7 separate regions of the Mus musculus genome follow, and all the other regions are reported to be linked to region 7. The links are microRNA targets in miRTarBase. Many come from high-throughput screens and were not tested one by one. Region 7 holds a microRNA gene; each other region holds the end of a gene's coding sequence.
The links. Region 7 holds the annotated microRNA mmu-miR-381-3p (UAUACAAGGGCAAGCUCUCUGU, at 1,536-1,557, opposite strand). A microRNA usually pairs through its seed, bases 2 to 8, with sites in the 3' UTR of a target mRNA and lowers its output. Matches are read on the target gene's strand: a 7mer-m8 pairs with bases 2 to 8, a 7mer-A1 pairs with bases 2 to 7 and ends in A, and an 8mer does both.

Region 1 (3,000 bases), not on the chromosome of region 7:
TGGTTAAAATGTAAAGCTGCACAGCTTGCCTATGTCATCTTAAACAGCAAGAGGATTTAACTTGCACTCTACATTTTACTGCCAGGTTTTTATTTAGATCAAGTATCGCTGCAGCGTTCTGACCAGCCCAAGTTTAGCAGCAAATGGCAGGAATCATATAAAATGCAATTTTATAACAAAGTGCTTTCCTAAGATATACATACATATATAAATAGGTACAAAATAAAGAGTCAACATTAAAAAGCTCAACTATTTAAAGGCTTTCAACTATTTAACTTAAGGAGTACATATAAAACACTGAAATGCACGGGTATGGAATCTACTAAACAGATTCAAAGTGTTTTGAAATGCAAGACCAAAAATCAAATTCTGGTTTGCAGACAAGAAAAAGGTATCAAAAAACCAGAATTCCTAAAACAGGGTAGCTAGAAAGGGGCAATTTTATAAACTTCGCCAACTGACTCGCGATCATGAAGTGACAGTCATTTGACTGAAAACCGCCAGGTTCTGGAACACTTTCGAGACTTCAGACACTTCCATTTGTGAACCTATGGTTTGCCTTTTCCCACATAGAAAGTAAAACTTTAATTCTGTTAACCATGACACGTGAGCTTATTATCTGTTAGGGTGGATGAACTAAAGGTACATTTCCACCAAACACACAGGAACCTTGTCACAGTTTCAGCTAACGTGTCAAGACAAGTCTTGGTTTCTTATGATTCATGATGTCAAAGAGGCAAGTCAGACACATTTTTGGATTGTAACTGTGTTTTCTAATTGAAACTTCATGTGCTATAGCTTACAAAAGGGGAGAAAGAAAAAGGAAAGAAACTCCTGTGCAGACAGACCAAGGACAGCTATCTTAGTTCTATCAAAAGGTGGTGGAGAAACAGCAACTATGTCTGACATCTCAGGCTTTTCTTCTAGATATGTTTGTTTTTACTTTTGAAGCCACCAGTTTTCATAGTTCCAAACACAAGATCTGAGATAAAACAGTCAAGAAAGACGGGATGGAAGGACCTGTGGGGCATAGGAATCTCTCATCAAGAGGCAAAGCTTGAGCACAGCTACAACTGACCACTAAAGCAAAGAAGAGCACCTAAAACTAAGCGTGGTCATGTTTCTCAAGTCTAGAAACTACACAAGATAAGTCACATGTAAGTTTGAAGAAAATACCTGTACAAAAATATAAAAATTTATAAATTTGTTTTAAGCTTGTGTTGATCTTTGAAAATATTACATGCACAATAACATCAATTGGAAAAGTGGCAACTAAAGTATTAGATATTTTTAGCTTTTTTATCTCTTTACATATATATATACATAATACGATAAAAATAATCTGTATTTTGGTTGTTTGGTGGAAGTATACTACAATAAGCTAAATAAACTTTAATTTTCAAAGTCAAAAACTATTTTATCAATAGCTTACTAATATGAAATATATTAAAATTTCCTACAATAACTGCAGAAATAAAAGACACCTAAGTGGCCACCAACTTATCTACTATGGAAGCAAACTAGAGGACAGCAAAATAATATTTGGATGTATGGATGCTCCTTCTGTAGATAATTGGACCCAAACAGAAATAAAGTTCACAGTTGAGTAAGATCCCTAACCCTGACCTTTTAATTTTTTCTCTGTTTCATACATTCATACAGTATCATGTAAGCTGTGCAAAACTTTACTTAGACTGGCAGTCTGCCATACCAGTTGCATTTGTCTTTGGTAGAAAAAATAAAACAATCGCAATAATGTGCAAGTATTTTCTTCCGGTCAAGTACCGAAATAGGAGTTCTCTAGAGCCATCTTTTTTTGTTTGTTTTTGTTTTTTGTTTTTTTTTTTATACAATACACAGACTCTGTGGCATATATCTACATTTTGACATAGTCCTATATACATTCAAAAAAATCTGAAAAAGAGTTGGAACAAAAAGACATTTAAACCCCATAATTTTCTCATCTATATATCTTGGTTTTCCTCATTAGGATTTTCATCATACAAAATATTACCAGTTTTAGAGTTTCCCCAAAATACAAGGCACAAAGAGTATGCTTTTTCTTACTTGCACAGACAATTCTATATATATATATGTATGTATATATATATATATATATATATGTATTTTTATATATCATATTGAGTTCTGAAAAACATCTAAACATGGTACACACGTGAGTGCTGGGTGCGCCATGTACATGTGAGATTAATGGCTGTAAAAAATTAGAACAAAAAGCAGTCATTCTAAAAACAATCTAAATGGACTTTGAAAAAAAATGCTTCCTCGGTATTTTTGTGTGGTTCAGAGCATAAACCCACCTTAACACTCAGCATTATACTAATATATTCACTCACCCAAAACACTCTGCTTCAACAAATGTTTACAATCTGTACCTCATATTTACTTAATGTGTGAGCTTCTTTCTCATGCCAGCAGCAGGGTCACTGGTTTATGCTCTGAAAATGCAATAATCAAGTATTTTGGATCATGCTTCACTTATGCTATTGTTTTTAAAACAATGTAACCTAATTATAAATGTTTACATAATGCTAATTGACATGCAAAACAGAATGAAAATTTACAATGGATAACATGACAAAAACAGACATTTCTGACCAGTGGTCCAATGAGGCTGATTACACTTTTGATGCTGGTATCCTTAGTCCTACAAGGCCTCCAGTGGGGTTGCCTTCAGCAGTCTTCCCTAACACTTGGTTAACAAATTCTGAGGTTTGCCCAGCGACTGGGAGACCTGAAGAGAATAAAAGGCACACTTTAAGACACAAACATGGAGAAGGCATAAAGGAAAGGGAAAAAGTCTGAAAGCTGATATTGACCCCAAAACAAGGGCTCCACTACTTGCTACTGCAGCCCAGAAAACCATCCTATGGCAGACTTCATTCACAAGGAGACCCACCCAAGAGTCATGAGGCACTCTAACGTGGTAGATGACAAATAACAATTCCTAAAGAAACCTGAGGTCCACTGGCAGGCTGT
Region 2 (4,308 bases), not on the chromosome of region 7:
CCATCCCTTCATACCTGCCCTCCAAATTGTTATGGAAGCTATAGTATGTGAGACTGTGTCCCACAGTATGCCCTTTTGTTCACACTCCGTTACTTGCAAATGCTCATTGCAATGAGTCCTTGGTCTGGTTTGAGGCCAGGACTATCAATACTGGATCCTAGGACTCCTCTCAGATCTGCTTTTTTACCTGTGTCACTGAGATCCCACAGCTTTGGGTCTGCAGGACCAGTCCTTTAAAGAGCTCCAGAAGCCCAGAGATGATGTGGATGTTGGGGTGGGCCAACTTAAAGCTCTAGATTTGGGCCTGGGTTGTAGCTGAGCTGGTCAGACCTCCAGCTCTCCAGCACCCAAACTACCAGGCAAGTTCTCCAGCATTGCCCTGGCTTACCCAATGCCAATCAGCAAGGGGCAGAGCCAGCTCTTCTGCTCTCATGCCCCTGGGGGTCAGCTCACCCACAACCACTCCAGCAGGAACAGCTTTATTATGCTGCCCAGGTGAGGCGCAGAGCCCACTCTACCAAAGTGTTGCAACTGGTGAGGGGCAGGGCTAGCTCTCCAGCTCTGCAGACCCCAGGGCCAGCTCTCCCACCTGCATTTCAGTGGGCCCTAAGGTAGTTGCCTCTGTTACAGAGTCAAGTCCTAGAGAAAAAAAGCTTGAGTCAGGGCTAGAAGAAAGTTTGACTGTCCCTGACACACAGACTGAGAGTACAAAGATAAAAGGTTTCAAAGCAAGATGGCTCAAGCTAGGGTACAGTCCAACTACATGAGCTTGGTCCCCAGAACTCACATGGTGGGAAATAGGACAGACTCTTGTAGGCTGTCCTCTAACCTCAGTGCATATAGCAAACAGATGGAAGAGATGTAAACTAGGTAAAAGGCTTCAGTTTTTTTGTTTGAGAACGCTATACTAGCCAAAACAAAACAAAACAAAACCCTTGAGCTTGACTTAAAATAAGGGGCACCAAGCTCTTGCCAACAACTGGACGGTTTTCTCAACCTTAGGGGTGGAGGTGGGGTGGGTATGGAATAACTTTGAAGGGGAAAGCCACAAAAGCTAGTGAGAAAGGAAAGCCTTGGTCAGAGTCAGGGTCTATATCCAGGGACTTGTGTCCAAGTTCCATTCCACCACTGCCTCAGATCTAAGTGTCTCTACTCCACATCGCACACTGAGAGCTTTCTACTTGGCTATCCTGTCCCATAATACTCTAGACCAGGGAAAAAGTGAGAACAGATAAACTGAGGGACCTCAAGGGAGATCTTGGATTTTAAGCTCAATCCTTAGCTGGATTGGGGCACGGAGGTGGGGTGCTGGAATGCTTTCTCTGTGAGGAAACATAGTTCCAGAGACTTTGTAGCAAGAGATCAAGCTGTGGCTAGGACTGCTAGGACAAGTCCTTCACTTCCTCCCACATGGAAGAAATCACACTGCTCAGCCAATCCGAGGCTTTGGATGTAAAGAGGCCTGGACCATTTCAAGACAGAACTCTTCATACCTAGATTCTGGGCACTCACAAACTCTTTCCTGTAAATAGAATGAATAGTGTAACTGATGATGCAGAAGCCATGACAGAACAATCTATGCAGCAGAGCCCTCTAGCCTGGGAACAAGTGAGGGGAAGGAGCCTAACCCTAAGCCAGCCCCCTTCCCTAGAACTTCAATAAAGGGTAAGCTTCTGCAACACTGTGCTACTAAAGACTGCCCTGTAGCAGTCTTGGGTGCTTAAATAAGATACACTATTACAATGTGATACTGCAAACCCTGGATACCCAATGCACATGTACTTAGCAAGTGTATCAAAACACACACACACACAAAACCTCTGAAACAGCTTTTTATTAAACAGCAAAGCAGAACTTGAACACAATTTTAAATATCTGTAACAAGGTCACAAAAGGGTTGCAAAATGTCTGCAATGTGAGGATTACACATCCATATAGCTAACGTCACTCATCAAGGCTTACATTAATACATTAGATAATTCCACAAGTCAAAGCAGCCCAGCCTAAGAGCCACCAGCTGCATTAGTGGATCTTTCCTATTATAAGACTTCACTATTATTTCTGATATCAGCTCCTTATCAAATGGAAGCTACAAACTAAATTTTTAAAATTTGTTAAAAGAATGACTAAAATTCTGCAAACTAAGTAGTTGAGTTTACAGAAATTCTGGGAAAACAACTGAGATAAAATACCGAGGTTAATAATTATCACATATACAAAACTCTTATATTCATGATTCTGATATTAATATACTCTCAATTAATTTTGCAAAAGTTCATTTCCTGGGTACAAATAAACTTTGAGACCAAACTCTTAACTAGTCTCTCTTAATCCACTTACATTAGACTCAGTCCACTTTCATATATGTCCCCAAAGTGCAGCTGTGGGCCAGAGGTAATACACATTTAGAGGGAAAACACTGCGAGCTGGTTATTTCTGTTAATCCAGTTTTCCTTCTTATTCCTATCTTTTCTCAAGTTTTTTGTTTGTTTGTTGTTTTTTAATTTCTCACACACATATGACCAGCATTCCTATCTTTTCAACACCAAATGAACTATTTTATGCAATAGGGAGTTTTTAGCTTCTCAGTGTGGCAGTTTACATTTCAAAGAAAACTCTTCATTTTCTATAGCTTCAATCTACTTTCGATTGATTAAAGAGAAACCAGCAATCCTATCTTATTACTAAATATCACAAACGGCAAGCCTTAGATAAGAAAGTGTCTTATTTTGGTTAAGTGTCAACAATTCTAGTTTAGGTTACTCTTGTAGGAGAAACTGCTGAAGTTACCGTCAGGGAGGGAGATGGGAGAGGCACAAGACGGTGCACAAGGTACAGAAGCTGTGCATTCAGTACATGGTTTTGGTCACTTTTCACAACATGGTTATTTTTTTGTATATTTTACTAGTTAGGCTTATGATAAAAGACAGTGCTAAACCTATATATATATAAGCAAATTGGCAAAACATTCATCTTCAAGTTTCATAAATATCTGTAATTCTAATATAAAGTCTCTACATGTGCACATTTTCATAGACTAACGTATACATATAGCGTTAACTCAGAGATGCTCCTGTTCAGCATTAGTGTTACCTAGATGTGACATTCTCTTTATAAATACTCAGGGAAGAACAAAGATACTCTAACTTTTGGATCATATCCAAGCCTTAAGGGGGAAGAAAAAAAGCAGCAATCCATAGAAGAGAGGGAGGTGAGCCCTTTACTTCCTTTTGCTTTTTGTATCAGTTGTTTGAAAAACACTAGAAGCAGACATGAGGTTTTCTATATATTGTCCGAGAACTTGATTTTCCGACTTTAGCTTCAGATTTTCTTCCTTAACTGCATCTACTCTTGCAGAAAGATCTGTATTCAAAATAAATAAATAAAAATACAATTACCAATAAAAATCATGGCAATGACTCCATGTTACAAATGCAGACCAGGCTGTGGGGTGACTCAGTGCTACAGCCCTTGCCTAGCATGTGTGATACCCTGAATCTGATTCGTAGCACTAACAACAAATAAATATCACAATTTGTAAGTTTTCTGTTTTTTTTTTTTTTTTTAATTCAGGTTATTGGGGGAAAGGCTTAGGTTAAAAAAAAACCTTGTACTGAGTACAAATCAGAAGACGGTGATTGTTAACAGTGTTTGCCATGGGACTCGGGAGTCTGTAGAGAGCATTTCTTTTAACTCTTGAGGTGGTTAAGAAAACATTGCATTTCTAAAGTATGCCTGTCCTCCCACACATAATGGTCATGTCTTTACTGGAAATGTTTAAGATGCAGAGCTTAACACAACTGGATTCCTAAGTTGGATAAAAGATCCAAGCAGCTGATCTTTTTATAGTTTTATATTAGTTAAAAATTCAAGAGATATAGATTCTAATGGACAAATAAAAAATTATGTCCATTCACATATTTAACAAATGTATATTGACCAACAGAAGCAGACACCATTCTAGAAGCAACAGAGAAAAACATGGTTGTATGTGGGCACCTGTGACTCAGTAACATGGGGCCCAGGTATCAAGAGTCACAACTTTTCTAAAGAAAAAGCAAAAATGGCTAAGGGTCATAAAAGCAGATTAGAAAGCACTTTTTAGAGTTAACTCTTTTGCTGCAGGTAATTTGACCAGAGTTCTGAAGGAACTCAGGAAACGGGCCACACAGATAGTAACTAAAGGAAGAGATTTAGAGCAGCATTTAAAGTGATTACAGAGACTCAGAACAGCAACACCCTGTGTTCCCAAATAACCTGAAGTGGGATGTATGACTGCTACTGCCAAGTGAAAGGCTACTGCTCACT
Region 3 (4,225 bases), not on the chromosome of region 7:
CCACTGTGCCCCTCCACGAGGTCGGCTTTGTTTAAAAATACCCTGCAGCATTCCAGATCATCTGAGAACCACTGAAAAAGACTTTTTTGTTCCCTTCCCCTTTCCAGGGTAGACGGCGAAGTCAAGCATTGCGTCATTAACAAGACTGCCACCGGCTATGGCTTTGCCGAGCCCTACAACCTGTACAGCTCCCTGAAGGAGCTGGTGCTACATTATCAACACACCTCCCTCGTGCAGCACAATGACTCCCTCAATGTCACACTAGCATACCCAGTATATGCACAACAGAGGCGATGAAGCGCTGCCCTCGGATCCAGTTCCTCACCTTCAAGCCACCCAAGGCCTCTGAGAAGCAAAGGGCTCCTCTCCAGCCCGACCTGTGAACTGAGCTGCAGAAATGAAGCCGGCTGTCTGCACATGGGACTAGAGCTTTCTTGGACAAAAAGAAGTCGGGGAAGACACGCAGCCTCGGACTGTTGGATGACCAGACGTTTCTAACCTTATCCTCTTTCTTTCTTTCTTTCTTTCTTTCTTTCTTTCTTTCTTTCTTTCTTTCTTTCTTTCTTTCTTTCTTTCTTTCTAATTTAAAGCCACAACACACAACCAACACACAGAGAGAAAGAAATGCAAAAATCTCTCCGTGCAGGGACAAAGAGGCCTTTAACCATGGTGCTTGTTAACGCTTTCTGAAGCTTTACCAGCTACAAGTTGGGACTTTGGAGACCAGAAGGTAGACAGGGCCGAAGAGCCTGCGCCTGGGGCCGCTTGGTCCAGCCTGGTGTAGCCTGGGTGTCGCTGGGTGTGGTGAACCCAGACACATCACACTGTGGATTATTTCCTTTTTAAAAGAGCGAATGATATGTATCAGAGAGCCGCGTCTGCTCACGCAGGACACTTTGAGAGAACATTGATGCAGTCTGTTCGGAGGAAAAATGAAACACCAGAAAACGTTTTTGTTTAAACTTATCAAGTCAGCAACCAACAACCCACCAACAGAAAAAAGAGTGTGGAGAAGGAGACTTACAGTGACATTCAGTATATAAAATATGTACATAATATTGGGTGACTAACTATCAAATAGATGGATTTGTATCAATACCAAATAGCTTCTGTTTTGTTTTGCTGAAGGCTATAAACGTGCAGCGCTATGCAATTCTTAATTTTTATTATGTTGTTACCCGTTTCAAATACACCTTTGGAATAAGCTTCCCTTACCCCAGTTTTTGTTGCTTGAAAATATTGTCCCTGATTTTTGTTAATATTTGTTTTTGTCATTTTTACTTTTTTTTTTTAAAGAAGTGTACAGGATGCCAGAAAGGAGAATGGCTTAAGAATTAAAACTATGAAATATTTTACAGTTTTTCTTGTACAGAATACTTGGCTGTTAGCCCAAGGTTAAAAAGTTCATAACAGATTTTTTTTTTTTTGGACTAAATGTTGGGCAGGGCCCTGATAAGCTTCAAAGCTGCTTTATTCAATAAAAAGAGAAAAAGAAAATGATATATGATATGACAAAGTATTGCTGAGTCCAACAGTGTTAAGACTCTTGAAATACGGTACCTGGCAATGTTTGTTTCCTAATGAATTGTGAACTTCTTGAATCTGGAGGGAGGGGGAGGCAGTCATGGGTTGTAACAGGCGGGGTAAGGGGAGGGGGGGAAGTAAGGTGGTGTGCACTTTCTAGGGATCCCAGAGAAGGGAGGAGCCAGGCTGTTTGTCTCCTGTCTTTCCCCATCTGAGTTTGGTAGTCATTAGCAATTAACAGCAACTCCAGACCTAATGTTGTAACTCCATCCCAGCACAGTTGGCCAGCATCTCCGTTGTCATGAAGTGCTGAGTTTGTTCTGGGGTTCCTGGAATGTGCCCTCTTTCGTTGTTGTAACACACTGGTCTCAAGGTTGAATCCCTGCATTTAGAAAATGTGTTCTTTTCTCTTTGTAGCATTGGACTAGTCACAGCAGTCAGCCAGTCACCATTCATTTTGGCTAAATCATGGTCTGAAAAAACAGCATCTAGTTGGATGCTTGATATTTTTCCAGCTCTCTGTTCAGAGTTCAGTTTAGAATGGAAGGCAAGTAGACCCAAGTGGGTGGTCACTGTGCTTTGTGGAGATTGTTAAGTGCAAACATTTAACAGTTCGGACAGGTCTTCTCATTAGCGTGATTGTGCATGTTGCATACATCACGGTGTGCAAAGGGAGCAGTTGGTGACATCTTTAATTCAGGACAAAAGTTCGAGTTTCCCACCCTAGTGTATATGTGTCAAAGCTGGTGAGTTCATGGGGAATTGCCATGTGCTGTGATGGGTAGAGGTTGATGGTAGTCCCTGTCGCAGCCCAGGTAGATTCATGAGCCATCATCAGTTTCTCTTTCTCAATATCAGACACACCTGCAGCTTTATAGCTCTTCCCTTATTTGGGGGGGGGAAGGGGTCTTGTAATGTTGCTCTTGTTTTGATCTTGGAATTTGCAGTCCAGTGTCTGGGTTAATGGTCTGTAGAATGTGTTTTTCTTCCTATGAAGCCACTGCTCATTTTCAAGAGCAAAAGTCAGTCAACCAGACTGTCAGCCCACAAACTTGACCCGACCACCTCCTGACTGCCAGGAAATTGATTCCCCGGGTTGACTCTGGGCTTTGCAACCTCCAGCGGTAGCATTCCGCCACACCACATACAACTGAAGAGTTAATACTTATTTGTAAGCTAGGTTTGTGGTTGGCTTCTGCTCTCTTCTTCCTTTCTCTCTTTCCTTTTTCTTTTTGTAGCACATCATGTATGCTATCAGATACAAATAACTTTAATTTTTAAAAAGGATCTGAGATTGCTTCGTGACAAGTTCTGTTAAGTGGTTTTTTTTTGTTTTGTTTTGTTTTGTTTTGTTTTGTTTTGTTTTTTTCCTTCAACACTCTCTGCAAGATAACTTGCAACTTAGGCAGTTGCCTGAATTTCTCATCTCACTGACGTGAGTACAATAGAGCTTTCATGTGTCAGAAGGCAGGAGTCATTGAGTTATAGCACACCTGTCCTACTGAATGCCCTTTTGGTGACAGGTTAGCATGCTCACCAACTCTGTCCTTGGAGAGGTTTGACCATTAAGGTTCTGTGGATTCCATCCAAGCCATCTTCTAGTAACACCGAGTGGCTCATGAATGCAGATAGATACAGCATAGCTGGGATGTGAGCATGCCCACTCAGGTTTTCTCACCAACTGTCCCATTCTAGAGACAGCCAGACACTAAGCTAGACTATAGAAGTGGGAGGGTTGGGACCTTGTGTTCCACACCAGAGTGATCATAGCCATGGGATAAGGCAGCAAGCATATTTTGCAACATTTGACAACTTCACAGCCCTGGATATATGTATATATGTATAATGTGCATGGACTGTTTCCAATACACCTTTCAGCCACGCAGATCCACAGTCAAGTTCAAGTACATAACAAGCAGATGTCCAGTACAGGTCTTGTATATGTGTGTGTGTGTGTGTGTGTATGTGTGTGTGTGTTCCTGTATTTCTTTGCTATTGCTTTGTTTTGTCTTATAAAGTACAATTTGTCCACAAGTGAAGTGAGAAGTCCGTCATTTGATACTTTCCTCTTTTTAGAAGCTCTTCCCTTTCAGGGAGCAGCCTGGATGATTTGCTTACCTGATGGATCCCTGTTCTCAGTGTTGTCAAGTCAGAGTGTGTTTCTGTGAGCTGTCATTGTGGGGAACCAATCGCTTTGTCGTATATCTGATTATGAACTATAACTTGTTTGGGAAGTCCTACTGATGTTCTTTATTGGGAGAAAGTTCTTGCAGGTTTTCTCAACTGTGCTTTCGCAATGCATGGTATCCAAGTCAGTTGGAAAGTGGGTTTTGTTGTCTGTTCGAATTTAGGGTCATTTAAGAAAGGGGCAGTTAAGAAGCACAATGCCTCCCATGGGACAACATTCCAAAATGCCAAATTCTTCTCTTTCTTACAACAATCTATAATTATATAAAATAACTAGTACTGGGGGTAGGGAGAGGGTAGAATTGGCTCCATTGGAAAGACTCTCCTGCTTCATACCGAGCTTGTCGCCATGAGATAGCATTGGCTGCCCAGGATGCTGCTATTTAAGAAGAAAAAAAAATCAAAACAAACAAAAAAGCCCTCATTTATATGTGTGTATTTTTTAAAGCTACACTCTGTTCAATGTTTTTACAAATCTGTTTATATGACATTGATAAACTAAAGTTGGTCTTTT
Region 4 (4,308 bases), not on the chromosome of region 7:
TTTCCCACCAAAGGAAAACTAGTCACATAACCCATAGCAAAGCCAGCTTCCCAGTCTGCCTAGCAGGCCCGGGGGGCACCTGTGTCACAGCTCCAGGGCTGCACTCTTAACTGGTAGGTGTAGAGTTGTGATACATTTCAGCATGTGGCAAAAGTGTCTTGAGAAAGTTTTTTTTTATCATTTATACAAAAAAACATAATTTAGGTTGGGTGAGGGCATGCATAGAAAAGCTACAGCGTGTAAAACTTGAATCTGGTACATCAGTGCCAAGAGCAAAACTCCAGGCCACCCACTGAGCACAGTCCCACAGCAGGAGGTGGCTGCTTCAGTGAGGGGTAGGAGGCCATCAGACTCCAGAAAATGTAAACAGCGTATTGTCAACATAATTTACTACAGGTCTCTGCAGTGTATATAAAACGTCTTTGTGCAGTGGCTTACAAATAGCTTCTCCTTTAAAAAAAAAAAAAGAAACAAACCAACAGTTCTCTACTTCATGCACGGATAGTCTTCTTACCCCATCTCTGTCTTCAACATGAACGCAGAGACACCATTGTTGGAAACAAATATGAAGACTTGCTACAGAAACACACCGATGAGAGAGGGTGTGGTCATATAGTGTCCTGGGACAGGCCTAGCACAGTGGAGATGCTCATAAATGTGACACTGGAGAGGACAGATGTCAGGAGTCTCTCTTGAGTACTCTGATCTCGGAGGACAAAAGCCTCAACAGACAATATGCAGTGAAGCCTTCTAGCCACTTGAGGGCGCCATCACCATTTATCCGACAACACATGTCCATAGACCCAGCCACAGAGAGGTCCTGAGGGTTTTGGATTTTTCTTTTTCTTTTCTGTTTTTTTGTTTTTGTTTTGTTTTGTTTTGTTTTCATAGAAAGCTCAGAGTTTAAACTTTGATTGCATACCCCAGCCCTGCAGAAAATACACGCAAAAAACGGTTGTTAAAATACTGACATAGATTTCTTTGCTCCTTGCAAACGTCCTGCGGTTGCTTTGCATATTTACTTGAGTCTTCTGCTGCTACAGAGCTGATCTGAAATCTTAATCCAGGCCAGCCCTCTGGCGTCAATCTTCCCTCATTGACTCAGCCTAAAACTCAGGAGTCAGCAACTACCCACCAAGAGCCCACACCCATGAATCGAAGGAACAGAACAAAAGACATTCTTTCTTCGTGACTGAGCCAATTTGGTCCCTCTGATGTGTTCGTGCAGCAAAAATGAGAATCAGCAGGGCAGGCACAGGAGGATTAAGGTGGCGCTGCCTGGACACTTCTCAGAGAACAAGAGGGCCAGGAAGGATTGTCAGGCTGCATCTTGCCTCCTGCCCTCTCTGCTCAGCACACGGCCCACACCTAGCAGACTCCTCGGAAGGATCCATAACAGCCTGGCCCAATGACCTGGAAGTCCTGCAGCCTTTGTGTTGTCTGTTTATTCTCAGGACAAGGCTTTGCAGAAATCACTCCTTAAATTTACTTCCACAATCCTGGGTACCTTTTGCCAAGGGGCTCTCTCTTGGGACTCAGGATGCAAATTCCCCAGAGAAGATGTGGCCACTGAAGGATGGGGAAGAGAGGGGTCACGAGACCCTCAGAGTGACAAAAGGGAGGATTTACAATTGATGAGGCTCCAGGGCAGCTAAGCATCTGGCTTAACAGAGTGGAGGCAGTGGAGTTCAGATTTGGGGGCTGAAAATTAAAAGCCACCAGTACAACCAAACAACATAAACATACACGCGCGCACGCACACACACACACACACACACTCTAACAAAGGAAAGTGACAGCTCCTGTTCTGAGTTGTCTGCTGAAAGCAGGGGGACAACAAGAATGGCAAAGGGCTGTGCCTGGTCCTATCCGAGGACAATATCTCCATGGCACTGAGATTCGGGAAGAGCTGCGATGGATAAGGATGCCCTCACCGTCTCCGAGGAAAGGCTCACTGGAAGGAAGACAGAGGGAAGCACTCCTCCAACCTCTCAACCAGGCTCTAAGACGCCCTCCCACGCTCCACTCTGCTAAGCTCAGTGTAGCAGCTCAGCACACTCCACTGGGCCTGTGCACAGGGGCCACTTTGGCCATAATGCTCCCTCCACTCAGGGCAGCCCCTTCAGGCTTCACTAGACATGTCCCCTTGAAAATTTGGCAAAGCACCTACAGAAGAAAGCTACCTGCCCAGGGGTAAGTCAAGAGACCAAGCTTGCCAAAGCCAAGCCAACAACCACCCGTCCCCCCCTCATCCCCAGTCATTGCCTTTGATCAGGGCAACCCTCAGAAACTGGGTGCCGCCTGGAGCCCTTGACCCTTCCTTCAGGTTGGCTCGTTTATTATTATTTTTTTTTTTTTCTTTTTTGGCAATGATGGGACTGAGCCTTTTTGCCTCCCTGACGGACTGGTTGGCTGGCCACCATCTGCTCCTAATAGGGTCCTGCAGGGTTTCTTCTGCACATGTGCAGTCAGTCCTTTGAAGCGAAATTCAATGCTTTCATCTTGACTATAAAGTGGTTCCAACAACTCCGGCTGAAGGAAGAGATAAGATACAAATTGGGCCCACGCTACACATATTTTTCAAGTCTTGCTAAGAAAGTAAAAAAAAAAAAAAAAAAAAAAAGAAAAAAAAAGAAAAAATGTTTGGGTATATTTTGATCCACGGGTGGCATTTTCAAATGTGCAAAAACAAAAATGTCTTGGAAGAGAATCCTTGTTACTATGAAGGCGTCTTCCTCTTGCTTATCAGTTGTGAGAGAAACTCTTCCACAACATTATGGGATCCAAAAGGAGAGGACCCAAGGGGCTTAAAAGAGTACATTACACAGCACAGGAAACCCCATAGCACCGATCTGAGAACATGAGTTAGATTGGCGAGTAGATGCGGCACCTGGAGCTACGCACTAAGTTACCAAAACCAAAAACTAGGAACCTAGGATGTTGGCATCATGACACCTGGGTGTGATCAGCTAACCAGGGCTGCCGCCCAGAGGCAACCATCACCTCGACCGGAAGCTTCCAACAAGTTCCAGGTCTGACTGGCTCCTGCAGAGAAACTGCAGAGTTCAGGTGCTGTCGCCTGTCCAATCACAGAGCACGAAGCAATGAGGAAAAGCCCAGAGGGCTCCCCTGACCCGACCCTGCCATGGGCAACGTCTGCTGGGAGTGGGCAGCCTCTTTAGTCAATGGCTCCCGGGTGGATGCTGAGCACCGGAGGCTCCAGGCAAGTCGGGGAGTAGTTCAGGTGAGGCTCCTTGATCCACAACAGGGGCACCCCGTTCTTCCCCTCTGAGTTCTTGCTGGAGTTCCGGCTTTTGAAGCGCACCAGCAGAATGGTGATGATGAGGATGCCAAAGATGGGGAAAGGGTAGAAGAAGACAAAGTAGAAGAGGGCATCGTTGGAGCAGATGAGCGACTGCAGGGTTGAACCTGGAAGGCAGCAAGGAACCATGAGGATGAAGCCTGGACTCTGTGCGCCTGCTCCCTGCTCCTGAGAGCTCTCCTGACCTGATGAAACTACCCCAGACACCCTCCTAGTCCTCCCCTGCCACCTGTGACTGGGAGACTTCTGCCTTGCTCTTTTTCTCATGGCACCCCAACCAATCATCTGACTCCTAAGTTCAGATGATGCAGTGCCCCCATTCCCACTGAGACCCATAACTTAGTCTGCTGGGAAAGCCATACACTGAAGTTGAGCTTATTGATTGTGAACGTGGAGGTGTCTATGGTGGTGAAGAAGCTCACTCCCATTCCTTCTTACCCTCCTACACGGTAAGAGGGTAGCTGACATGTCCTTCTATGCCTACTTCTACTTAGACTTCCATCTCAGGGAATCTAGCACACTCCTTTCCTGCCTGCTTCAGGGATTGGCTGTCCTAGAAAAGGCACTTGCTGAACATTATCAACTCCCACTCTGTTGTGGACCACTGACAGTGTCTAGTGTCTATGGCTCCGAAGGGTGGACTTACAGCTGGGTATAGAAGAGAATCAAACCTGGAGCCCTGACAGCAGCTCAGCACTGCTTGCTCATGTTAGCCTTGGCCTCTAGTGATCCCTGTGTTGGTGAAGCTTAGTTACCCTAAGCATCTCAGCATGGGTCCACAGGTCAAGTGTGGCCTCAACACTCTCCTTCTCATTTCCGACACTGAATGCACATTCCATTCAGGTTTTCGCCATCCTTCTTCCCATTGTACTGGGGTACACCATCACAATGGCAGAAAGGCAGCACACAGTTTACTCTTATGGTTTTCTAATGTATATCAAATTACTGATGGCCAACCATTTTCAACCCATAAAAATTTCAATTTC
Region 5 (4,308 bases), not on the chromosome of region 7:
CTTTTGTTTTGTTTTTACATGTATTTTATGTGTATGTGTGTATAGGGATGCCTCTAGATGACAGAAGTGGACATTGGATCCCTTGGAGCTGAAATTACTGGTATTTTTGAGCTGCCAGATATGGGTGCTGGGATCCGAATTCCTTGACAGGCCTCTGACAGACAGAACAGTAAGGCCCCTAAATGCTGAGCCTTCCCTTTCTTTAGCTCTTGTTTTATTTTCTGGAGACTAGATCTCACTTTGTAGCCCAGGCAGGTCTCAAACTCACGGTGATCCTCATACTTCAGCTTCTTAAGTGCTAGGGTTACAGCCACAGAGTGTGTGTGTGTGTGTGTGTGTGTGTGTGTGTGTGTGTGTGTGTGACAGACAGACAGACAGACAGACTAGCCTTGACCTTTCTGTGTTGCTGAGGGTGATCTTGACCTTCTGACCTTCATGCCTCTATCTCCTAGGATCATGCCTCTATCTCCTAGGATCCCGGGCTTGTGCCAGCATGCTCAGTATGACGTAGTATGGGAGGTACACCTTATGAGCTTATGAGAGTTGCTGAAATGACAGAGCTTGTAAAGGGTTTCAGAGTTAGGCAATCCCCAAACATCAGACCTAGGGCTGGCTGGCTGTAGAGGCTCAGCCTGAGCATCTCTGAGCTCCGAATTAAAATGTCAGTTTCCCATGTGTGCACTTTGTGTGACTTCATAGGTCTAAGAGTGTCACGAGTTCCAGTACCTCTAGCAGTGACAGTTCGGCCAGTGAGTCTTCATCAGAGAGTGAGACATCCGCCTCATCCTCTTCAGAAGACAGTGACTCAGATGAAAGCCTCTCTAGCTCCTCCTCCTCCTCCTCTTCCTCGGCCTGTTCGTCTTCCTCTTCCTCCTCTTCCTCCTCCTCCTCCTCGGACTCGGACTCCAGCTCGTCCAGCAGCAGCAGCAGCAGCAGTTCTGAGAGCAGCTCTGATGATGAGCCACAGAAGAAGAAAAAGAAGAAGAAATAGAGCTCTGTACACCGGGACGGTGGACCCAAAGCACCTGTGACTCCCAGGGGAACTGAAAACCTGCTCAAGCAAGCAAGCCAGACGGCCAGAAGTGTTAAATAAAATCCAGAACTTTCCAAGTATTTACTATTGTATAGAATATTTAAAAAAAAAAGATGTTACATATATAAAGATGTTTATTTTAGGAATGAATATGGGTTTTTGCTGTTGCTTTTCTTTTTGTAAAGACTGGGTCTCATTTTGTAGGTCTAGCTGGCCTTGAATTTGATATGTAGAGGAGACTGGCCTTGATTTCAGAGAGATCTTCTAATGTTGGGACTAAAGATATGTGCCACCATGCTCAGCTTTTGTTTTTAACTTTTTTTTTTAAATATTTGAAGTCTATCTGTAGTACATAATCAAAATTGAAAACCAGGAAATCTATTTCATTGACAGGCAAAAGTCATTTTTTTCCTGCCTTTGAAATGAATGCTTTATGTGGGTATATGTTACAGTGTGTATGGGACAGTCTTTGACTGTACTGTATCAGAATATCAAGAAGTTTCTTGTTCTCTTTTGCCTGTGTTTATTATGTGAGATTTAATGCATTGTTATTATAAATGGTTTTCCTACTGTTAATAAATGTGCTCTATTTTTATGTTTGTATCAGAAAATTCTGATTTTTCTATTCTGAATCTATAAAATCAAAGAACCCCATACAGAACATTGGAATGATGTAAGTTTCAAGTTTTTTCTTTGTTGTTGTTTTTTTTCTTTATTCTTTAAGATTTATTTGTGTGTGTGTGTGTGTGTGTGTGTGTGTGTGTGTGTGTGTGTGTGTACACGTGCCTACGTGAGTTCATGTGCCACATTTCTGTGATAGCATGTAGAGACCAGAGAGGGCATAGGCCCCCCTGTAGTAACTGGAGCTGTAGGTAGGTAGGTAGAAACTGCCACGTGGGTGCTGGGAAGCAACCTGGGTCTTAGGCAAGAGCGGCAAGTGCTCATAACTGCCGAGGCTTCTCTCCAGCCCCACGCTCTGGGGCTTTATCCTTCCTTTCCTCCTGGTTTCTTGTTCTTCTCTTATGTGTATTTTTCCAGTTACCAGTTACTTTTTTTTAGACATCAGTTCTCAGTCAGGATATGAAGATTTAGCCTTGGTTGAATTCTTCATGAACAGAACTGAGCATTTGGTTATTCAAGAGTGCAGAGTCCTCTATCCTGGCCCTACTGGGACCCGCACGTCACTAATGTGAGAGCTTCTGCTAACCTGGGGAACACAGAAGCTGGGGAACACATGGGTGCCAGCGCCAAGTCCACCGAGCTGTGCTCTATCCTCTTGTTGGGCATAATTTCAGTGCCCCACTGCATACCTTTGAGGTTGGGATGCCTCCCAGTTTAACATCCATGAGTTTCTTTGGAGTCTTGGCTGAAGAACCACACATCTCAGGGAGGCTCTTGGGAAGTTCTTGATGCAGGGTTTCGTGTTTCATAACCTGGGCTGGCATCAAATCCCCTATGTAGCTGGGGATGACCTTGAACTCTTCTTACTACCTTTACCTTCCACCTGCCACAGCTCTTGGCATTCTTATTTTTATGTATGCATGCACTCGTGTGGTGTGTGTGTGTGTGGTGTGTGTGTGTGTCTCTCCTTGCCCATGGAGGTCAAACAAGGATGTGGGAACTACAGCTGGAGTTACAGGAAGTTGTGAGCCATGAATGTGGATGCTTGGAACTGAACTCCAATCCTCTGCAAATGAGGTGTCTCCAGCCACTGGTTACATTATACTTAAAAGATAGCTATTTATTTATTTATTTATTTATTATTTTTGGTGGTTTTTTTTTTTTTTTTTTTTTTGAGACAGGGTTTCTCTAGCTGTCCTGGAACTCACTTTGTAGACCAGGCTGGCCTCAAACTCAGAAATCCGACTGCCTCTGCCTCCCAAGTGCTGGGATTACAGGCGTGCGCCACCATGCCCAGCTAAAAGATAGCTTTTTAAGGGCAAGAGCAATGGCTCAGTCAAGTAAAATGCTTGCTGCACAAGGCTGAAGATCTGAGTTTGGTCCCCAGCACCAGAAGAGCAAGGTATGGTCACCTTGTCTAGCACCAGGAGGGACTGAGGTAGACCAATCCCTGGTGCTCATTATTGGCCAGCCAACCTAGTCAGTCAGTGAGCTCCAGACTCTGAGACACTGCCCTAAACGAGGTGGAGAGCAGAGCAATTGTCAGAATGTGACATTGACACCAGGCCCACACACACGTGAAGATGTACATTACAAATATGCATCCATAAACATCAAGTCTTATATATTTTTTTTCCAGTGTTAGGATTAGAACCTGAGGCCTGTTGAATGCTAGCAAGCCTTTTACCACTAAGCCACATCCCCAGGCTTGCCTCTTAATAGTTCCTGTATGACACTTTATATGGGTAACTGATCCTATATGACTTTATAAATATAAATAACCAGGGAGAAGATGACGCTCTAGCAAGGATCGGGAAATACTGTACAATATTTTTAAAAGTAAACTATAATGTACAGTAATGTCAAGTTTAACCCCATTATTCTGTGGCCTTAAGCTTTTTAGAAAAGAGGTATCCTTTATTCAACAATCTTGATTTGGGGACAGAAGATGTAGCTCAGTGGGCGTAGTGATTGCCTAACATGCAGGAAGGTTTGGGTTCGATTCTTAGCAGTAATATACCAGGCTTGGTGGTGTATGCTTGTTTTTGTTTTGTTTTTTTGAGACAGGATCTCTCTATAGACCAGGCTGACCTCCATCTCCTAGAGATCCTTCTACCTCTGCCTCCTGAGTGCTAGATTACAGATGTGCACCATCTCACCCTTCTGCTACAAGGCTGGGATATTCCAGCACTCTGGAGATGGAGGCAAGAAGACCAAGAATTCACAATATATCATCAAATTAGATGTATACAGAATATGACAAAATAGTGAGAGTTTTGGTTTCTTTTAAATCTCAGTTATGAATGTTTTTGTTTAAATATCCTAAAAGGATGCTTTCAGTTTGTCCACAGCCATTAACTATGATTGTCTCCTACTCTGGGGGCTGAGGGTGGGGGGTGACTTACCAGCTGCAGATAGTCTGGGGACTCTGGAGAAGACCTGAGTGGGCCTGTGGCAGCCGCTTTTCCCCTGGGTGCTGCTCCAACTGCTGGTTCCTGCCCTGCTTCCCCTGTCCCCACTGCTGCCCCTCTTTTGCTCCCTCCCCACCCCCCACTGCTGCTCCCATCCCCTCCCCACCCCCACTGCTGCTCCCATCCCCTCCCCACCCCCACTGCTGCTCCCATCCCCACCCCGACTCCCCTGCTGCTGGTTCC
Region 6 (4,308 bases), not on the chromosome of region 7:
TGGAGGGTAATGTCGGCTGGAGCACACTGGCACATGCCTTATTCATGAAGTCCAGGGGGAGCTGTATAGGTTGGAGGCCAGCTTGGGCTACATAGTAAAACTGTGGAATAAATAAAGCAAAGCAAAAGCCTCAGGTCACAGGAAGGTAAAGACCAGTGATCCCTGTCTTTTTAGATTTGTTTGTTTGTTTGTTTTTAAGTTGAAGGTAATGACTTTGAAGCATTAGTAGAAACTAATCTATGATTCTAGCTGCATTAAAACTGTATATAGCAAGTTATAATTGGTAGTTAGGTTTGTGTCCAGTTTCTATGAAGTATATTGTATATCTACATACATAGAATCAAGAGGAAAGCATGTGATATCTCCTTCTCTTAACCATCCTGTAAACATTGGTACTGAGTTTTATTATTGCTTTGGCTTTTAAACTAAATTACCTAAGTTTAGCATACAGTAATGAACTTTTCCTTTAACATTTTGTTTTTAACATTTTGGACCTTTTATGGAATGAATCCCATACAGAGTGTGCATGTCGGTGAGGTCCTGCACCATGGAGTGTAGGCTCAAAGCCAGAGTCTACACTGCATCTTACCTCCGACCTATTTGGGCCTGTGGGGCAAGTTTTTAAAGTCCTGTAAAGCCTTTCCTGAAGGTACAAAATGCAGCTAATCCTTGTACTGCTTCAAGTCATTCAAGAACAAAATGACATTTACATGTGAAGTATTTAGCTCAGCACCTGGATCATAGGAAGTACTCAACATTTATTACTATGTTTCTGGAATATTTCTTTCCCAAATTACACTTGTCTTTATAGTACAGATACAGTATAGTAAAGAATTTAATTTGCTTTGAATCTGACTTTCTCCTTTTCTTTTTCTTCATCCTATTTAGTGTCTTTTTCCTTGGAGCCATCCTTGTAATAGCAGCTACTTTCTTGTACGGTTACGATCCCAAACCTGCAGGAAATCCCACTAAAGCATAGTCATGTCCTGTCCTTAACTGGATTCTCACAGTGGTGCCCTAGGAACCTCAACATTAATCTTGCACAGAGGACTTCTGCAGATTCTATGAAGAAATCATCAGGCTAAATCTGATCGTTCTGTTCAAATGGTTTGAAAACGTGTAGCCTTCAGGATGAAGTGTGTCCGTCATCTGCAACCCAAGCTTGGAAGAGTGTCCAGGAAGTAGGCTTAGAGGGGATACTGGGAGGAGGCCTTACGTCTGAGCTCCTAGTGACTTCAGCCTTTTAGTTGCTGTAGCACTGTCCAGTGCAGCCTTTGCAAGAGCACACACATGCAAAGAAAGAGCAAGGTTTGCAAGGTAGATCTGCCTACACTTATCCCATGTTCTTAACCTTACCCTTTCTGTACAGATGTATCAAGCTACATGATCTATTTAAATGGAAATTTATAATTGCCTATCAAGCTGTGAACAAACAAATATAATTTAAAACCATTTTCATGTATCCAGGGTTTTATATCTATACAGAGGATTCCTAAGGAAAGGATTGACAAGTTTTACTTGTTTAATTCCATACGATTTGATTAAGTGATCTGGGTTTGAATCATATTTAAATTTAGTGTAGAATCAATCTCTCTCTCTGTCTCTCTCTGTCTCTCTCTGTCTGTGTGTGTGTGTATGTGTGTCTGACCATTTACTGCTTTGAGGCAGCTGAATGCAGTTTGGTTCTTCCCGTGCTAGAGTGGCAGAGACTGGCCCTAGTGGAGCTTACTCATCATTTCCCAGGTCTGTCTCTTTTCTCATTATTCTCATCATTACATTAAATTGAATTTGTGTGTCCTGCCATTAAAAATTTTAAGTGAATTTAAAGGGATTAAGTACTCATTTAATAATTGAAAATAAAATAATGATTACTGTCTAGGCTCCATTTTGAGAAATCTAAACTATGAAGCATATATTGAATGTAGTTTTGAAATGGAGAATTTTCTTGTTAATCTGCAGTAGCAATTTCTTTTAATCTTTGACAGAAACAACAATCAAAAGAGTGTTAGTTCTCTCAGTGGACCATGATTAAACTGATTTCCTTACAGACATTCCCTACTGCCATATGCTACTTTCTTTTTTCTTTTTCTTAAAGCATATTGTAACTTGTTTTTTTGTTTTTCTTAAGGCAGATTTTCATTATGTAGACCCAACTGGCCTTGAACTCACAAATATCTATCTGGCAGCCTCTGCCTGGTGAGTGATGGGATTAAAGGTGTGGGCCACTCTGCCCACCTCACTACATTGTTTTAAGGGAGTTGCATTATATTTTAAGTTCTAAGGCTATTTAGAAGTTTTTATGTCTTAAAGCCCACTCTCCCCACCTGATCATGTGTCTGGCAGATGTGACTGCCTTCAGGGTTTCCTCTCTGGTGTTCCTGTGAGTCCTTCTGGGAAGGAGCAACCATTTGCTTTAGAATAGTAGATTTTCTTTCTTTTTAACACTGGAGTTGAGGATACAAATTATGAGTTATTTAATAATAAATTCAAAGGAGAGAGAATATATTAGAAATAGTAAAGTAAACCGGGAGGCAAAAATACGTTCTATATTTGGAATATAAGTTATTTAATTATTGTCCATATGCAGAATTACCTATTGAAGATCTATTTTATTCTTTCATTTATATTGTATATATTTTAAAACTTTGTTCAAATAGATACAAACCTGTAAAAAGGTAATTATTTTTTATGTAGTTCTAATAGATTTTGTTAAATGGAATTTGACTCAAAAGCACTGTTGTTAAGAACTGTAAGGTTCCCTTGGCAACCTTGGATTGGCTATTTGATCTTATCAGAGCAAATGTACTTTCAACAGTGGACATGACTAACCAATTCCATTCAGAGTTTCAAAGTACTTAAAATGATAGAATATTTAACATCATTGCACCGATGAGGATAAAGTGATAGCAGGCTTTCTGAATGCCTGGTTTATGGTTTTCAGTGACTGCCTTTTAGAGCTTGACTATTTTGAGCATGGTGTGAGGCCACCACAGCATTCAAGCATATGTCCTAGGACCTATAACCAAGTACAACCCAGATCCTGCAAATGCACAAAGTTCAAGAGGACAGATTCATGGTCTGCTCATATTAAAGCATTGTGTGGGCAAGTGTGTTAATACAGTGTGGATTCAAAATGATTGGTTATTTAGATATGGTCTACCCTGTCTTAACCCTACAGAAATATAGACAAAGAAGCAGTTGGATAGTAAGGTTGTTCAAGTTATAATACATTTTAGGTGTCTGAAAATCTTTTATGCATCATTTATATTTTTCCTTTCTAGTCAGTTAAAAAGTAATTGGGCTGAATGTATAGTCTAAAAATTTATAAGGAAATAATAATATGTGGGGGAAATGGGCTTGTAACCTAGATTGTGTCATATATATTGATGCTGAAATTTTGTGTAATGTGGTTTGTGTTTTGATGACATTCAAAGGTGTTATTGTGTCATGCTTCCATAACTCTTCGATTATTTAAAAGTTATGCTTTTAAAGGTGTACTTGTTATTTCTCAGCTACTTTCACTAAAGGCACGTGTGAGTTCATGGAGAAGAAGCCTGCCAGCTGAGAGCTGTAGTAAGGTTAGGTACAGCACACTGGGAGAAAGCTTCATGTCCCGGGCAGGCCCTTAGTGCAGCAACAGCAGCTCCTTACTGGACGCTTTTCAGGTTGTAAGTTACCTGTGCAGTAGAGCATAGAGGTTGGAGGTTCAGAACTGACATGTTTACATCAGTTTCTATGGAATGACACAGAAGTTCATATGAGAAAAAGGCAGCTTGATATTTAAACCACAGTCTATATTAAGAAATTCCAAAAAGAAATTAGTCGACATCCTGCTCTGAACCATAAAATAGAATACTGTTCTTACAAATCCGGTTACTAGACTTTAAAAATGTCATTATACTGTCATTCAATGAAGTGTTTTTGTTTCCTTGTCTTTTTGAGGCAGCATCTTAACTGTGCCACCCTGGCTGCCTGGGGTTTACTGTGTAGACCAGGCTGGCCTGGAAATCACGGAGATCCGCCTGCCTCTGCCTTCAGAGTGCTGGGATTAAAGGTGTAGGCCACCACCCCCATTTGAGTTTTGTTTTGTTTTACTTAGTTTTTAAAGAAAGGCTTTAGTGTCACTCATTCTATTTAAACATTCATTGTAGAATATTTTATTACTATATATTTTTACCCGGGATTTATAAAAAGTAATTATGTTATACTGAAAGTCATCTCAAGGATCTCCAGGATAATTAAAGTAATCGAATAGGGCCAATGAAAATGCACCTTTATCACAGTCTGGTCCTATGTGCCTTGCCTTAC
Region 7 (4,308 bases):
TTGCCAAGTCATGAAAACTGTGCTATCTCACCATGACCAAGCCACGTAGGAACCCCTGGACTCTTCAAGCAAGATCCTGACTTGGGATCAGAGTGTAGCTCTTACACATCAGTTCTGTGCTCTCTTGCCTTGTGCCCAGGTAAGGCTAACCCATGCATCATGCACCAGGCACCTCTTTAAACAACCGTCTCGTCATCCCGGAAGTCCACCAGGGCAGTATTTGATACTCAAAAAGAAATTATCCTTGTATGATTCATCCAAAAGAGCCAACACACCAAGGATAATTTCTCCTCAAGTATGAAACAGTAGCACAGCAGGAATACCAGCATCCATAGGCCTCTTGGGAGTGATCACCACTCCTCACACGTGGCTGCACCCAATACATACATGCACCATGCATGCAGTACTACTGATGGCCATTCTAAGCACCAGGGAGGTGAGAGGCTATAGAAATGACTCCCCAGGACTCAGCATGACAACCTCACGTTAGCCTCTTCTAAGGGTAATGGTGGCTGGGGTCAAGAAGCCAGGCAGTGTCCATCTTAAGTGGAGCAAGCATTGTGGGTGGCCCTGCTGACCCCCGGCATGGGGTCTTCTGTTCTAGAAGCTGCTACAGAAATGATGTCACTGCCGAGTCACAAGCACCACCTTGTAAGTCCAGCACAAACTCTAAGCTCCAACACCCACTCACATGACTGACAGAGAATGTCTGTCTCAACATGGGCTCCCAAATCCAAGGAGAGGTTTGTATATCACCATCATAGCTGCCAGCAGTCAGCTCCCAGCAGACAAAAGTTTGGGCTGGCACATGGTCAATAATGAGCCTAGTCCCTACAAGAGCCTGATCTCTCCCAGCCCCCGAGAGCCATATGCATTGGACCCCAAGAGGACTCGCGAGTGACACACGAGACAAGGAGCATAACACGGCGACACCCTTGTCCAAGGATGTGTGATGGGAAGTGGCAGTGGCAGGATCCAGGCGCAGGAAGCCAGGCTGCAGAGTCTGCGCACTTGATACTGAAAAAGTGGATGACCCTGTACGATTCGGCATGAGTGAAGCGAAGAGGACAGGGATAACCACTCTCCAAGTACCAAAGCTCGGCCTGGAAAGCAAAGCCACCGCCTCAGGTAGACGTGCTACGTCTTCCAGGTAGGGTCCTGGGGACGAATTAGACGCTGAGCGTTAGCAGACTGGGTCACACACACCAAGCAAGAACATGCACACTTGGGTACCACGGCACGGCAGCACATCAAAAAACAACGGCCCACACCAGCACAGACCTGACCATCAGCCTGGGAAAGCAGGGACCCAGGCTACACACAGAGAGCATGCTTTGGGACCAACCCATATGGACAAGGAGAGGGGATGTACCCGAGGTCTTTCCTGAAGTCATCTTGCGCCCATGAAGCCGTTGGTGCATAAAGGAAACCCAGGAAGCAGTTTGTCACACACAAGATGGATACACACGGTCATGCACACACATACCACATCCCTCGCTGAGTGTGGACGGGATCCAAGATAAGGTTTGATACTCACAGAGAGCTTGCCCTTGTATATTCCATGTCAATAAACCGAATATACAAAGGGCAACCTCGCTTTAAGTACCAAACAATAGCATGGGGCAGGTTCCGCTCTAGCATTCACGGGGTCAGCCTCGTCTCCTGGGACTTAGCCTGGGGAGGGATGATGGGAGATTCGGAATCAGCCAATTACATGGCAAACACCACCTGCCAGATGTGTGCCCACTGGTCAGCTCTCCATCCAAGGAGCTTGGGCTGGGACAGATACTTGGGGGGTGGGGGGGACCTTTTTCTGATATTACTGGCAGATGTTACAACAGATTGAGATTTTCACTCTCTCAGGAAATACAGAACTCAGATTTTTGCTTTCTGTAGGTAAACCCTGGTTAGGACTACAATCTTATCCTTAGCACTTTCTCTATGATGCCCACCTGGCTGTACACTGCACACAGAGGACAGGAGGACCCCAGGAATTTATAGAAGTGATTAAAGCCAATCCTTTCTGCCTTCCCAGTAACGGGTATCAGTGTCACTCCCAGGACCGGACCCTGCCCCACTAATTCTGCCCGATAGTGGAATGGGACAGAACTAGAAGGAAGTTGATGCCATACAGGGGTCAAACTCCACATGCCACTGAATGATGGAACCATCTTTCCTTTTTGGGACCTCTTCCCCAGAAAAGAGCAGGCAGGAATGGCCACAGGTTTGCACTGAATCATGGCAAGGAAAAACACTCACCTTTTTTTGACGGGATGGGTTGCTTCCATAGGTGCGGGCTGTTAAAACTGCCCCCTTCTGATCTAGGTATAGCCACAGAAGAACACCAGATAGACCGCACGGAATGGGAAACTTCAGCCTCTTCCCAAAGACAGACACCACTTCCAGGAAGTCCTCACTTGGAGAGGGGTGGACCAGGCCTGAAATCATTATAAATAAAGATGTATAAACCAGTACTTGTATCAAAGCTGGGATAGTCTAACATCATGCTTTATCTTCTAAGGTGAATGCTGTGAGCAACAAGGCTCTGGAGATGGCTTGGTACAAACAGACGGCAGGTCTGAGGGCCACTGTCTTTTAACAAGCAAGCCACTGTTGGGTGATTATGTTCAATGCAAGTGCAACAGGCACCACAGTACCCTCTCCCACCCTCAAGAGCAAAAGATCAGGCACCAAGAGGACAAGGAGGACCAGAGACTAATAGCTTAGCCAAAGGTCCCATCTTAGAACCAAGAATTGGTACATACCCGAGAAAGTCAGAAGTCACGTTGTATCAGGAGACCTGACCCAAAGATGGAACAGGGCTGGAGTAGTTCCCAGATAGAGTTAGATGTGAGGACAAGTGCCTCTTGCAGTCTATTACCATCAATAAAGAGAACATACCGGAGGCTATCCTCTTTACATGAACCAAGAGTTGGGCCAGGGAACAGTGAAGCACCTGTGAGCCTGGGCTGAGCACAGGGGCTGGTGAAGCAAGCCTCAGCTGGCTGGCTCTGGAATTGGCTGCATACTCTGCACACTGGTACCCAGCCCTAAAGTTAGTTTACTTCTCAGTATCACTCCAAAACAGGGTGATCTTCCAAAAGACTAGGGTGGGGCATGGGAGGATGGGCATGGGGTGGGGTGGGGGTGGGGATTCTGTGTAACTTAACAAAAAAGTGACAGAGAATGATTGGCATTCCAGAGCCTGCAAAGCCACCCTGGCAAGAAAGCCTCCACCTGTGCCCACAGCTGCAGCCTCCAGGAAGTCCTCCAGATGGTCATCGAAAGAGCAGGATTAGTACGCACAGCAACATGCATCATTCAAGAAAGAAGAAAAACCGGAAAACTAGCTCTCTGAAAGCCCCCACCCTCTTCCCCAAACTGGAGCAGTATGGAGACCTCTGGACCTTCCTTCTGCCCTTCTTGGGGAGTTCAGAGGACTATGGGAGACTTATCACTATAAACATCAGACCCATGCAAGGCTCACCGGAGGGAGGTGAGATGCCCCACCTCCACCCGACCCCCAGAACCAAGGTTCTTTAGACAACCTTAACATAAATTCATGCTGTGACACACAAGGTGAAGAGGACACCTGGAGAAGGAGGCTTAATGGTCTTGGTAGCCTCTGGGAGCATCTTTACTTTGGATATCCACCAACCCCCTTTCCCTTAAGTGGATGGGAAGCCTTAAAGGTGATTGTAAGGACAGGTTGGCAATGGTGGGCAGAAAACCCACATCTAAATGGGCACTGGCTTGCTGCTGACACTCTTTTGGCCTTAGAAGACGACCTGGCATGCACACCACACTGCGAAGGGCTGTCAGAAGGGGAGGCACAGTTTCCTAGGCTCTACCAAGAACAGCCCTTAGGATCAGCATTTTTTTCTAGAAAGTTCTCAGAAGCATGTGTGAGATCTGTAGGGTCAGACGAAGAAGGAGCTCAAGCTCGGTGGCCCACCATGCATTTACTTACCCTGGAGAGACCACACCCTTCTGCTAGGCCCAGGCCGCCGCCAGCCATGCTTCCAGGCAGCATTTGCTCCTCGAAGAGAGCTTGCCCTTGCATATTCATTTCGCGTAAAGCAAACACACAAAGGATAACCTCTCTTCAAGTAGCAAACGATAAGGAGCGCTGGGGAGAGCTGGTCCGGTGCGATGACAGATGCGATGACGGTCCGGATGTGAGCCTGAGGGGGCACATTTGGAGGTTACACTTCCAGATGATTCACATGCCCCCCCTTCTCCGCACACCCCCCAAAGGGTTACCCAAGGCGCCCTTACCCAAAATGATGGCCCACCCAGGAGCTCTCC

Region 1: the mRNA of Crebrf is a reported target of mmu-miR-381-3p. Seed matches in the 3' UTR shown: 7mer-m8 at 2,036-2,042 and 7mer-A1 at 1,847-1,853.
Region 2: miRTarBase lists Scoc as a target of mmu-miR-381-3p. Seed matches in the 3' UTR shown: 7mer-A1 at 2,213-2,219.
Region 3: the mRNA of Pik3r1 is a reported target of mmu-miR-381-3p. Seed matches in the 3' UTR shown: 8mer at 3,459-3,466.
Region 4: the mRNA of Igsf3 is a reported target of mmu-miR-381-3p. Seed matches in the 3' UTR shown: 7mer-A1 at 183-189.
Region 5: miRTarBase lists Zcchc10 as a target of mmu-miR-381-3p. Seed matches in the 3' UTR shown: 7mer-A1 at 1,121-1,127.
Region 6: miRTarBase lists Slc35a3 as a target of mmu-miR-381-3p. Seed matches in the 3' UTR shown: 7mer-A1 at 2,627-2,633.

The regions. Positions count from the first base shown.
Region 1 is chr17:26,771,047-26,774,046 of GRCm38, reverse strand. Crebrf (CREB3 regulatory factor) reads right to left here. Exons shown (of 9, transcript NM_029870.2): 9 at 1-2,755. The coding sequence ends at 2,640. Among named protein-coding and RNA genes, the nearest start is that of Bnip1, 8.5 kb to the left of the region's middle.
Region 2 is chr8:83,432,678-83,436,985 of GRCm38, forward strand. Scoc (short coiled-coil protein) reads right to left here. Exons shown (of 4, transcript NM_019708.4): 4 at 1,815-3,363. The coding sequence ends at 3,221. Among named protein-coding and RNA genes, the nearest start is that of Scoc, 7.8 kb to the right of the region's middle.
Region 3 is chr13:101,680,952-101,685,176 of GRCm38, reverse strand. It overlaps Pik3r1 (phosphoinositide-3-kinase regulatory subunit 1), which reads left to right. Exons shown (of 16, transcript NM_001077495.2): 16 at 108-4,225. The coding sequence ends at 297. Among named protein-coding and RNA genes, the nearest start is that of Pik3r1, 85 kb to the left of the region's middle.
Region 4 is chr3:101,458,908-101,463,215 of GRCm38, reverse strand. Igsf3 (immunoglobulin superfamily, member 3) reads right to left here. Exons shown (of 11, transcript NM_207205.2): 11 at 156-3,429. The coding sequence ends at 3,179. Among named protein-coding and RNA genes, the nearest start is that of Gm40109, 47 kb to the left of the region's middle.
Region 5 is chr11:53,331,603-53,335,910 of GRCm38, forward strand. Zcchc10 (zinc finger, CCHC domain containing 10) reads left to right here. Exons shown (of 4, transcript NM_026479.4): 4 at 700-1,699. The coding sequence ends at 991. Among named protein-coding and RNA genes, the nearest start is that of Zcchc10, 9.1 kb to the left of the region's middle.
Region 6 is chr3:116,670,299-116,674,606 of GRCm38, reverse strand. It overlaps Slc35a3 (solute carrier family 35 (UDP-N-acetylglucosamine (UDP-GlcNAc) transporter), member 3), which reads left to right. Exons shown (of 8, transcript NM_144902.4): 8 at 889-4,308. The coding sequence ends at 979. Among named protein-coding and RNA genes, the nearest start is that of Gm51275, 4.8 kb to the right of the region's middle.
Region 7 is chr12:109,724,119-109,728,426 of GRCm38, reverse strand. It overlaps Mir381 (microRNA 381), which reads right to left and starts at 1,605; the gene lies at 1,531-1,605. It overlaps Mir487b (microRNA 487b), which reads right to left and starts at 1,094; the gene lies at 1,013-1,094. It overlaps Mir300 (microRNA 300), which reads right to left and starts at 4,114; the gene lies at 4,036-4,114. It overlaps Mir539 (microRNA 539), which reads right to left and starts at 298; the gene lies at 225-298.